2 linked regions of the Alligator mississippiensis genome follow. The protein of the gene in region 2 purifies or fractionates together with the protein of the main gene of each other region. This does not show direct contact. Links are inferred from orthologs where the notes say so. Each region holds a gene or a part of one and is shown on either strand. Other genes may lie near its edges.

What was found. Proteins that work in one complex are often made in the same cells at the same time.
Region 1: the proteins of UBXN2A (region 2) and PPP1R11 purify together in Homo sapiens (affinity purification with mass spectrometry; 3 studies listed by BioGRID and IntAct, counting the BioPlex papers as one, with this or other methods). This does not show direct contact. The link is inferred for Alligator mississippiensis from reciprocal best matches to the Homo sapiens genes UBXN2A and PPP1R11.

What each region holds. Positions count from the first base shown.
Region 1 is NC_081834.1:54,003,307-54,008,984, forward strand, and holds PPP1R11 (E3 ubiquitin-protein ligase PPP1R11), read right to left. Parts: upstream 2,875-5,678; 5' UTR 2,703-2,874; coding exon 2,619-2,702; intron 2,476-2,618; coding exon 2,367-2,475; intron 1,583-2,366; coding exon 1,377-1,582; 3' UTR 1,090-1,376; downstream 1-1,089. Other genes in the region: POLR1H (DNA-directed RNA polymerase I subunit RPA12), read right to left, coding at 5,206-5,230. UniProt on the Homo sapiens protein: Atypical E3 ubiquitin-protein ligase which ubiquitinates TLR2 at 'Lys-754' leading to its degradation by the proteasome.
Region 2 is NC_081824.1:16,045,866-16,051,543, forward strand, and holds the start of UBXN2A (UBX domain-containing protein 2A), read right to left. Parts: upstream 3,865-5,678; 5' UTR 3,675-3,864; intron 3,536-3,674; 5' UTR 3,467-3,535; intron 3,398-3,466; exon of another isoform or gene 3,302-3,397; intron 3,156-3,301; exon of another isoform or gene 3,088-3,155; intron 3,022-3,087; exon of another isoform or gene 2,941-3,021; intron 2,861-2,940; exon of another isoform or gene 2,260-2,860; intron 1-2,259. UniProt on the Homo sapiens protein: Acts to repress the ubiquitination and subsequent endoplasmic reticulum-associated degradation of CHRNA3 by the STUB1-VCP-UBXN2A complex in cortical neurons.

The DNA of each region.
Region 1 (5,678 bases), on a different chromosome or scaffold from region 2:
GCAAAATAATAACCTGAAGGAATGCACGCTTTGTAGCTTCTGCAGGCCAAGCATGTGTGCAGTCTCTCCCCTTCTCTCTCTCTCGTGCACACACACACACACACATACAGCCTCTGCACAGCTACACCCCCTGCCTCCCCATCCACTGCAGGGTCTTACCTATAACTCCTCACCTCCTTCCTCAAGCCAGGGACCCTGAATCCAGGCCTCCCATTCTCTCCTCATCACTAAGGGGAAGCATGTCATCAGCTCAGGTGACGAGATGCCAGCATCTCTGGGTGATGGAACGCCAACAGCCACAGGGGCAAGGCCAAGTGCAGCAAAGGACTCTTTTCAAGGTGATCAACAGAGTCAGGGCAAAGGAAATCCAGTTCATTCTTTGTAATACAGAAAGAAAAAAAAAAACCAAGGTGCAGCACTGGGTCTTGGGGAGATAATTTCTCTTTTTATCTTAGAAATAAATATCATTTGGTCAGGTCTTGCCTTCCCCACTTTGCTGGAGGTCTCCATGGAGGAGGTTAACATGTGGACCAGAAGACCTTGGAAGACGGGTAGAAACTGACTGTCACTGAAAGACTCTTACCCTCTGTATTTTTTTTTTTTTTAGATTTAGATGCCAATAAAGGGTACCAAATCAAATACAAATCACTGTCCTGAGTTTCATTTCCTTGGTAGCCAGGAGGCTGCAAATGCAACAGTTCTCTAGTCATCCATAGAGACTTCCAGGGGAGAGAGGGGAGCTGAATTTCTAATATATGAGAGAGAAGAGAGAGAGATCACTTCCCTTTTTCCCCAGGTTTCTGAGATAAAGCCCACAGGACTCCTCTGTACAAAGAGGAGCACCATGTAGGAAAACAAAACAGAAAGGGTTTCCTTAACAGGATACATTCACATATGTTACAATCAATATCCAGTGGCAGCCATAAAACGGGAAATAGCAAGGACCAAAGGTCATGCTTTAGGGTGGTGGGGAACACCGAAGGCTGGCACAGCTCTGCCAGGGGAGTGGCTGTGAGCTGGTGTTCAGGACCCTGAGCAGAGTTGGCAGTGGCCGGCTCCCCCTCTGCACCAGAAAACAGCAGGGCCCAGTCACCGATACAAAGGTTTAATAGAGAAGCGGAGAGAAATCAGCCAAGTGGGGGTGGGACACGTCCAGCCCCGTTGCTCAGTACATTCCATGCCAGGACACGAGACGGACTCACTGGCCACACACGAAGACGAACAGACGGACAAGAACAGCAGCTCACGTGGCCACGAGGCACACAGACAGACGGAAACACGTGCGTCCCCTGCTCTGGCCCCCATCAGTCCATCTGCGGGGGAGGGAGGGGAGGGGAGGGGGTGAGGTCCCCTGAGGGGCAGGAGGAGGGGGTGGCTCAGTGCTCCATGGCTCCATCATGGCTGTGGTCCGGTGGCTCAGCCTTGCGGGGGCTGCCGCTGCCTCCTCCCCCGCCTGCTCGCCCACCCTGGCCCTTCTTGTGGCCTCGGATGCAGTGGGCGTTGCCACAGCCCTCATCGTCCTCGTCCTCACTCTCTGTCGAGCTCTCGCCAAAGGCTCGTGGCTTCTCGTAGATGCAGCAGCCTGGGCAGGAAGGGAGATGGAGGAACGGGGGGAGGGGGACGACAGGAGGGATATGACAACGCAAGGCGGAGAAATGGAGGCAATTCCAAGATTCACAGCTGCCCCCTGCATGCAGCAGCTCTACAGCCCCCTCCCACACCCGGTGGGGAGCTCCTGGTCTCTGAGAAACAGGGGAGGCCGAGATAGGACTTGGGCGTCTTCTGCAGGCCTTCTGCTACATACACCCCGTTGCGCAATGCCCTGAGTGACCCCTGCAGCAGCCAGGCCCCTACACAACTGACCCCAGGTCAGCCGCTTAGACCCTCGCAGCAGGGGAGAAAAGTGGTCGCCCCCCGACAGCAGGAGATGGTGACGAGGCCACCACGCTCCTGACAGGGAAGAGGGATTTAAGATCAATGGGGCAGGAGACCTGTCCTGTCTGGGGGGTACGGGGCCTGGCTGGCTCAAGTAACAGGGGCCCTTCTCCTCCGCGCAGTCCGAGATCCAGCCCAGCACCGGGTCAGGCAAACTGGGTGCCCCGAGGATGGAGAAGGGGGCACAGAGCGTTTCCCTCGTGGTGTCGGGGCCAGGACGCGGGCGGGGAAGCAGCGAGGCGGGTGGAGGAGCTGTCAGTGGGCGACCAGAGGCCTCTCTCTCGCACGGGCCGGGGAGCCTAGAGCCCCGTGCGGGGGCGTGACGGCTCCCCGGCCCCGAGCACGGGGGACGTGCCGCGCCGCGGGCAGGACAAGTCACGGGTTGAACGTCAAGCCGTGAGCGCGGCGCGGCGGACGAGGCCGGCACTCACATTTGGAGGAGCGGCGCCCGAGATGCTCGTTGTCCACCGTGTCGCTGGACCACTCCACCTTCTTGTCCGGCTTCCGCTTGCGCAGCTTGATGGTGAGGCTGCGGTTCTCCTGCGGGCGGCGGGGCGGGGGGTGAGGGGCGGCGCGGACACCCGCCCCCCTCCCGGGGCCGTTGTCATGGCAGCAGCCCCCTGCTGCGCTCGCGGCTCCCCCCCCCGCTGCCATGGCAACGCCCGCCCCGCGCCCCCGCTCACCGGCTCGGTGACTTCGGTCTCGGTCTCAGTCTCGGTGACGGTGCCGCTCCTGCAGCCGCCCCCGGCAACGGTCGCCTCCGCCATGGCGCCGCGGCCCCAGTTGCCGGGGGGAAAAGTCTCCGCAGCGCACCTGCCCTCGCGCAGCCCGAGCCCCGGCCGCCGGCCCGCTCCGCCCCGCGGGGCACAGGGGCGTCGCGTCGCGTCTCGTCTCGCCCCGCCCGCCTCCTCCAGACGCTGCTCGCCCGCGCCCGGTGCGGCAACCTTCCCGCACCCCCCCTCGCTTCCGGCAACGCTACTTCCTGCTTCCGGCCACGGGCCGGCACCGAATGGAGTCCCCCGCGGTGGTCACTTCCGCCGTACGGGGCGCGCTGCGCATGCGTGGGCCGCACCTACCCTGGGCCACGTGACTGCAATGGGCTGCCTGCAGTGCAGTGGGCCTGGTCCGGGCCCCAGCGCTAGGCCTGATGGGAAAGTGAGGGCTTGGGAGTGCTGAGGCCTCCTCAGCACCCCTCTCTGTTCTCACGCCCCCTCCCACACTTGTGATGACTTAGTACAAGTGAAACACCATCATTTCCAATAGTACAACTTCCTCCTGCCCAGTAGGAGTGTCTCTAGCTGCCTGTCCTACCCTCTGGCCCCAGTGCCTGGTAGCCCCAGCAAGGCAATGGTGTGTGGACAAGGCTTGAACTGCAAATAGGGGTAAAACACGATGCTAAAAGTGTGGTTTCTTTGCTGGCTTCATTTTGCCTGGCTTGGTTCAAACAGCGAATGTTCTCAGCCGGCTCAGCCTGCCCGAGCCCGGAGTCTCTGCTTCCTGCTACGTTCCTGTCCCGGAGAGGCAGCGAGAGCAGGAAGCAGGGTCCCCATCTACAAGATTGGGGATTGCGTGTGCCCATGAGGGATGCGGAGGGCACCCTTGGTGCTCAACTCTGGGGTGCATCTGAGCAGGCCAGGCAAGCTGGGGAAATAGCCAGCTGAACACGGGAAGGAGAGTGGGTGCAGAGGTGCTCCCCCGGGAAGAAACACCAAGCAGAGCTCAGGAGGGAGTTGGCTTGGGACTAGAGCAACTAGTTTCTTTCCTGTGGACGCACATCATGGTACACTGTACAGTGAGCAGTGCACTGCAATACGTATTACATCACAAGAGAGGCAGCAGCATTTCATCCAATTATGATGGGGATTTTCTAGGTGACAAACTGCTTCTAAATTAATGCCATCACTTCTAATGTCACAACTTTCTGCCTGCTCAGTAGGAGAGTGTCTCTAGCTGCCTGTCCTACCCTTTGGCACCAGTGCCTGGTAGCCCCAGCAAACCAATGGTGAGGACAAGCTTTCAATTGCAAATATGGGTAAAACATGATGCTAAAAGTGTAGTTTTTTTGTTGCCTTCATTTTGCCTGGCTTGATTCAAATAGGGCGAGTGCTCTTGGCCAGCTCGGGCTGCCAGAGCCTGGAGTCTCTGCCTCTCTCTCCCTTCCCATGCCAAAGCAGTACTGAGAACAGGAATGAGGGTCACCGTTTACAAGGTGGGGGATTGCATGTGCCCGTGAGGGACGTGGAGGGCACCCTCAGTGCTCAGAGCTCTGGGGTACATCTGAGCAGGCAAGACAAGCCGGGGAAAATAGCTAGCTGAACATTGGATGGGGGGTGCAGAGGTGCTCCTGCCCCCACGCCCCCAGGAGAAGAAATACTGAGCAGAGCTCAGGAGAGAGGACTAGAACAATTTGTTTCTTTTCTGTGGATGATAAACACCGCACCGTGAGCAGCAGATTGTGATACAGATCACATCACAAGACACCCACCAGCATTTCACCCAAGTGTGATGGGGGTTTTCTGGATGACAAACTGAGATGGGTAAATCCTAGACAGGATCTGAAAGGGGGGTGGGGCATGGGGAAAAAAAGGGAGAGTCTAGTCAATTAATAAGGTTGCAAATAAAAAGGTTATGATAATGCAAAGCATGTATCCACTCCAAACCAAGGCAGAAAAGCTGCACAATTGCAGCTTTTGCCTCACAGCAAGGGATTTATAGACAGCAAAGTAATATAATTTATTTTATTATAAATGATCCATAAGGAGTTATGCCAAGTTTGTCCAGGAAGACAGGCAGTCCACCCAAAAAGTTCAGGCAGTCCCTTCTCCAGGCACCTCAAGCCTGAAAGAAGGGAACTTCCGTGATACGCTCACCCCCGCTCCTCCAAATTAAAAAAATGCAGTGCACTCAATAGGAACAGGATTTCCTTATAGAATACAGCTTCTGTGGTACTAGCCAGAAAGGGGACTGTGCCTGTGTAAGGGATATATAACTCTGGAAATCACCTCAACAGTCCTTTGAAACAGGAATTTGGATTTGGAATTCCCAAAGACTGGGAATCAGGGGTCGCTCTGAGGTTGATCCCCCAGCTCCGCTCCTCTGGACCTCAAATGCATTCTATGCCATCAAACTACAGGCAGAATCAATACTGTCAGGGCTGGGTAATGTCTTGGGCCAAGGAAAGAATCTCACTCTGGCAAAAGCAAGCACTTTTGGTATGAACGGGGCATTACACCCAGCCTCCTCTGCTCTTTGGTCCCCATGTTGCTCCAATCAAGAATCTTCCTTCTCCTGGAACCTGCAGAGAAAGACACAACCCCCAGTCTCAATCCTGCGCAGAAGCCTTTTTTTTCTTTTATTTAAATTTCTGGATCTAAACCGACAGGTGGCAGCAAAGGACAGAGCACAGGCACGGCTTTGCACTCTGCCCCTTCAAGGATGGAAGGTGGTATAACTGCTCTTTGTGGTGGGGCCACTGGAAAGGCACATGGCCAATTTTGTAGCATGGGGCCAGGGGACCCAGGGGGTGGAGGCAGTCATTTTGGGTGTGGAAAGAACAAGGAAGCTAACTATATCTTGAACATGAAGTAAAATGTCTGCATCATGCGTGGTTGGCAAACTATTTTCATCTCCAGCACAAGAATGGAGATTCCCAGATCGAACCCCCTTTGTTAGCTTCAATTTATTGATAGATAAAATATGTGAGGTCTCGTCTACGTGGTGCATTTTCTCCATGGTGCAGAAAC
Region 2 (5,678 bases):
AAAAAGCACTGAAGACCTGACAAGGGCAGAAGAACTCCGACTTGGCACTTTATTTAAGGGTCTAAATCCTGCCAAGTGCTAGGCACCACCTTTATCGAAGCTGCTCAGCAATTTGCAGCAGTCTCCAAATTGCCTCACTATGCATAGGTATTGGAGCAAGCAAAATAGGTAACAGTACCCAGACCACTTCCAAAATAGCTAGACAAAAACCAATGAGACCTAAACTTCTTTTTCCTCTCCAACTGTGCGGGCACAGTATAATCATGTGATATGCACATAGCTTTACTTGTATATTTGAATTCAAAACCTGCCTTTTAAAATAGTTTATATAAAAAAAAAAATCCCCAAGGTAGGTTTACTATACAGAGTTTATGCATCTCCTGGATATTAAAATCTGGCACCCAAATAATTTATCTTTTGTGTTATTACCCTATGCAAAAATTCTAATCTTCTGTTAATTATTTTGTGGATCACCCCCCTTTGCACACACACATTGATTAGTGCTGTTACTGTCACAACATCTGTTGAGCATCCTCCAAAGACATCATCAGAGTGGTTATAAAACCAGACTGAGACAGAGGCAAGTCTTTAGGCTTAAATTCTGTTTAGAAAAACAAACAGGCCTTGCACACATAAAAGCCCTACACAAACCTAGTCAGCTATTAAAGATACTTTTCTTTATCCAAATACCATAGTACTTTATGGTTAATTTTACTGTTATATTACAGGTAAAATTAAATACAAATTATGCAGCATACCGCTCATGTCAGCTGTCCAAATCTAGTATTAGAAAGATTTAGTGGCATGCAATCTTGCTGGTACAGGAGCCTACACACTTTGCACCTCTGTGTTATATTTTGTCCTCAAGTCATGAATTCAGTTTACATTCTTTGCTTCAGACCTGGCAGCAAGTACTTATCCGACAGTAGCAGAAGAACTGTAATGCCAATGCTTCCCTTCGAAGTCTGTCTCGGAGAAGAGAGATGATCACTACATGTAGGTGTAAGTGACGTCTGGCTCAATGAGGCCAGTCAGGCATGAATGAGAAGAACTAAACAAAAAGTTTTAGTGTCTAGTAGGCAAGTCTCTGGAGCCCCTTCAGTATCTCTAACTAACCAGCTGCTACATAACTAAGGGTCCATGTCACAATTCCCAATTTTTCTCAATTAGGGAGCGTCTCTAAATTAGAGCTTCAATCACTTACGATTATAAAAGTGACAAGCGTGCACTTACACAGGATTTCATTTTTGTTGCATAATCAGCACAAACACACAATTCCATGGCTGTAGGTAAACACGTACCCCATGTTTTCCCTTGCTCTAACCTTTCCTGGCATACGTTATACACACTTATTTCTCAAGACGTCAAACTTGCAATATGATCTGAGGACACACACTTACAGGACCAAGAAATGTCTTTAGCACAAGCACTTGTCATATATATTCTTATACAGCACTTTCATTAGTTAGGATGCAAGTGGAAACAATATTAAGGTTTACTCCGCTGCTTCAAAAGCTAGTACTATTACCTAGAGCCCAGGGGGCAGTTATACCATTTTTCTCCCTGTACAAAGAAAAGCATAAACACTGCCAAATACTACTGCCAGAATTAAACTTTTCAGAGAATAAACTCTTTGGAGCAGCAACTATTATTTCCTATATAAAGTATTATCATAGGGTCTAGGAGTCTTGATCATGGACCAAGATGGCTGAGTGTTTAGGTGCTAGTTCCTAGATGTGGTTTTGCCACTCTGAGCCTTTCTGGATAAAGTTTAAATCTAAATATTAATAGTAATAGCAATAAATACACTACAGGAACAGACAGGAGAAGTCTCATCCAAATGGCTACAATCTAGACAAATGAGAAGGAACAAGAGGCAAGGAAGCAAGTGCTTGCCTGACCTAAAGCAGCTTTAGCCTTGCTGAGATCTGTAGGCTTATAAATAAGTTGTTCAATTCATCCAAAACTAGAACCAAGCCTGCAAATGTTTTCAATTTCCCATAAAGCCTTTTTGGTCTGCCCGGGCATTCCCTCTACCTCCCCACCGCCTGTTTCCACAGGCTGAGCGTGGTGAAAAAGGAAGTAAAAAAACCAAAAACAAAACCCTTTGTGTTTTTTTAAGATTTACTAAGCCCCTCTCAACCAAAGACGAACACTTGGTCAAAAAACCACTGCAAAAACTTGCTCTGACCAACTCTAGAGCAACACATACCAGGCCTCCTGCCCTCCCCATGCCTCCTCGAAGGTGCAGCCGCTTACCCTCACCAGCACTTCAAATCCCAAGCGGATCCCCGCCCGCTTTTGATGGCTCAGGCGCCAGGCCGAAAACATGCTGGACTCCTTGCACACCAGCAGCCGTGTGACGTGGCCACATCCCGGCCTCTGCACATCTGGCTGCAACCCTCCTTTCCGAACGATCCCTCTGGAGCCTTTCGCTGCTGTTCAGTCACCCACACGTCACACGTGTCACACACAGACACTGCACGGAGACACAGACGTCACACAGACACACCTCACAGATGTCACACAGACAGACACAGGGATGCAAACAGACACAGACACACACACGTCACACAAACAACACACGTCACACAAACGACACCTCACACACACACAGACACAGGGATGCACGCACAGACGTCACACAGACGCAGACACACAATTGCACGCAGACACACACACACGTCACACACAGACAGACGTAGACACACACAGACGTCACACACAGGCGTAGACACACAATGACACACAGACATAGACACATGCACGTCACACGCAGGCACACACGTCGCACACACCCCTCCCTTTGGGGCAGCGCAGGCGAGAAGCCCAGGCCGGCCCGCGCCTCCCAGCCGCCGCCCCGCCCCGCCCGGCCCGGCCCGGGGGAAGGGGAAGGGGAAGGAGGAGGCCGTGCCCGGGCCCGGGCCCGGGGCCCCGTACCTGGCAGCGCGCGGACCCGGCCCCACGTGCTCCGCCCCTCGCTCCGCGCGCTCGGGCTCGGGGCTGGGCCCGCGGCTCCCCCGCCGAGGGAGGCACACGTTCACGAGCACCGCTCCGTCATTTTAAACAAACAAAAAAGCCCGTGACCTCGTTGCGGTGCCCGCTCCCCGCAGGGTTGCAGCAGCAGCGGCGGCGGCAGCAGCGCGAGGACCGGCCCTCACCCTCACCCTCACCCCCACCCCCGCCCCGCCGGTCACATGGGAGCGGCGGTGGCGCGGCCCCGCGCAGCTGGCGGGGACTCCGGCGAGGGCTGGGGCCGCCGGCTCGGCTTGAATGCGAGCGCCTCGTCCTGCAGCCGAGTCCCCCACGAGTACCTCGCCTCCGCCGAGCTGTCGCCCAGCTAACGCACAGGAGCTCGCCGCTATCGCAGCCGAAGCAAGCGTGGCGGGGTGAGCCGCACCCCGGACTCCCCGCTCCGCGCTAGCCCTCCGCTCTCCACGTCAGACTTCCCCTTTTCTTTTTTTACCTTCCTCGTTTAAATGTCCCTCCGGTCCAGGCGACGGGTTTCTTTCTAGATAAGTGCAGGTCTCTGGTGCTGAATGATAGACGGAAAAGAAATGGATCGTTTTAGAGCGGGTCCCACGATCCCTTTTTTTTTTAGTATTTTTTGTAGCATTAAGCATAAAACAATCGGGCAAAGCACAGTTAGTTTTATGCCTTTCCATTCCACATACCTATTAATATCAAATGATTATTTAGGGTAGGTAAAAGGGAAGGCAAGGGGATGTTCCCAGACCGTGTACAGTCATGGATAATTGATGGGGTGGCTTACTCAAAATGCAGTATGAAACTCCTCCACTACAGCACAGTGGGATTGTTTCTCCACAGCTAAGGGAGCTGCATCCGTTTCTTTGTCTTTCAGACTCTGTATCGGCGAGGGCTGCGACAGCAGTAAAAACAGCACACTGAGCCCTTTGGAGACTGGAATGCCTTTCATTATTCTTGAGAGACCAATTAAGGACTAGTGTTGACATATTCCAAAAGGGCTCCTGTCTGGGCCTTGTACAAAGTACAAAAGAACAACATCATGGTTACAAACCAGTGACTCAAGGTTGCAGAGGGTATGCAACAAAAATGAGAAAATGGAGTGGGATTTTCAGGGATCCACAAAGCATTTAGAGGAGCCTTCTTCCTTTATGCCACGCTGTGACTTGAACATTGTATCTTGCTCCTTGAAGAAATCCAACTCGGTGAGGAGCAGCTAGCGTTAGAAACTACCCAAAACAAACACAATAGCTGAGCGGGCCAAGGACTAAAAGCACATGCCGAGCTGAATGAGAGCAGCAATTTTGGTATGATTTGCAGCTCACACCTGCGTGCCTGTTCTAACAAGCTTTTTAAATCATCAGTGTAGTGTAAAACACTTAAAATGAACCTAAATTAGAAAGTCAAAACTTGCTAATTCACATTAATTAATAGGAGACTCATTGTGAATTAGTAGAGTGATTTAAAAAAACAAAGGTACTGTGCTAGGATGAATGTATTCTGTTCATTTAGGGCCTGATTCTGTCTCTTCTTACTCCTGCGGATTGGTATTTTATTGTTTAAATTGCCTGACTCACAGTGACTACTGCTCAAGGTGAGTAAGAGGAGTAAATTCACATCCTTAGTTAGTTTGTTCTTTGTAATTTTCTCTTCATTTTATTGTGATGCACCATGAATGTACTAAATGTTTTAGAGGACAATTTATAAGAATAATGGTTAGCAATATGAGATTAAATTACAGCTATCTGCTTCTGAATTTTTATTGGATTTTGGGGAGACATTGCCATTTTTGTGTGTGCCAATTAGAAAGTGTGCCTTTCATCAAAAGATTGTGAGATTCTGTTCTCCTGTGGTATTCATCTTATTTGCTTGACATTTTCAATCCATGTTGAGATCCTTGGATGAAAGGGTAGATTACTGAATAACCACATTTAATTCTATTAAAGCAGGGGTGTCAAACTTGAACAGCCCCCTGGGCTGGATCTGGACTATGGGACAGCTCACACGCCAGATCCAAACTTGGCAGCAGTGGTTGGACATGTGGTAGCAGTATAGAGGTTAACTCCCCCTGCCCCACCCTCACAGCACCCTCCTACTTTTACCATTACTGACACGTGTATCCCATGGGACTCTGTAGTCTGTACACCAGAATTTGGTAGTGGGCCCTGCCCCTGCTCGCCGCACCCCCTGGATTCCCAGCTATTCCAGGAGCCCTGCAGGCTGAGTGAAATGGCAGGCTGGACCTTTAATATCTCTTATTGCATTAACATAACAGCAATGTTTAAAAAGTCTGTGGCACTCAACTATCCTCAAAACTGGCTTGACTCTAGAAGGTGCTGTGCACTCTGGCCCTAATTAATTAAAAGTACTTAAGAATAAGTACATGGTTAGTATTAGCTATTGAGTTCTTATCCATCGTGTTAATGGTGTGTTGAACCCAAGTGAGCATGGTGAGTGAGACAAGACATTCCTGGTGTAACTATGTTGAGTGCTGAATTACAGGCAACTGGTTGACTTGAACCATGAACAGGAGTATGTTTGGAAGCATGGTGCTGTACCACTAGCCTTCTGGAGTGAGCAGTCCTGCCAAAATGAATTGAGCTAATCTGTAGCCCCTTTACTAGTTTTTCTAACATACATTACGCTACAGGAGTAAAACTGTTGGCAAAGCAAGTAGGTGAGAGGAACCTAAG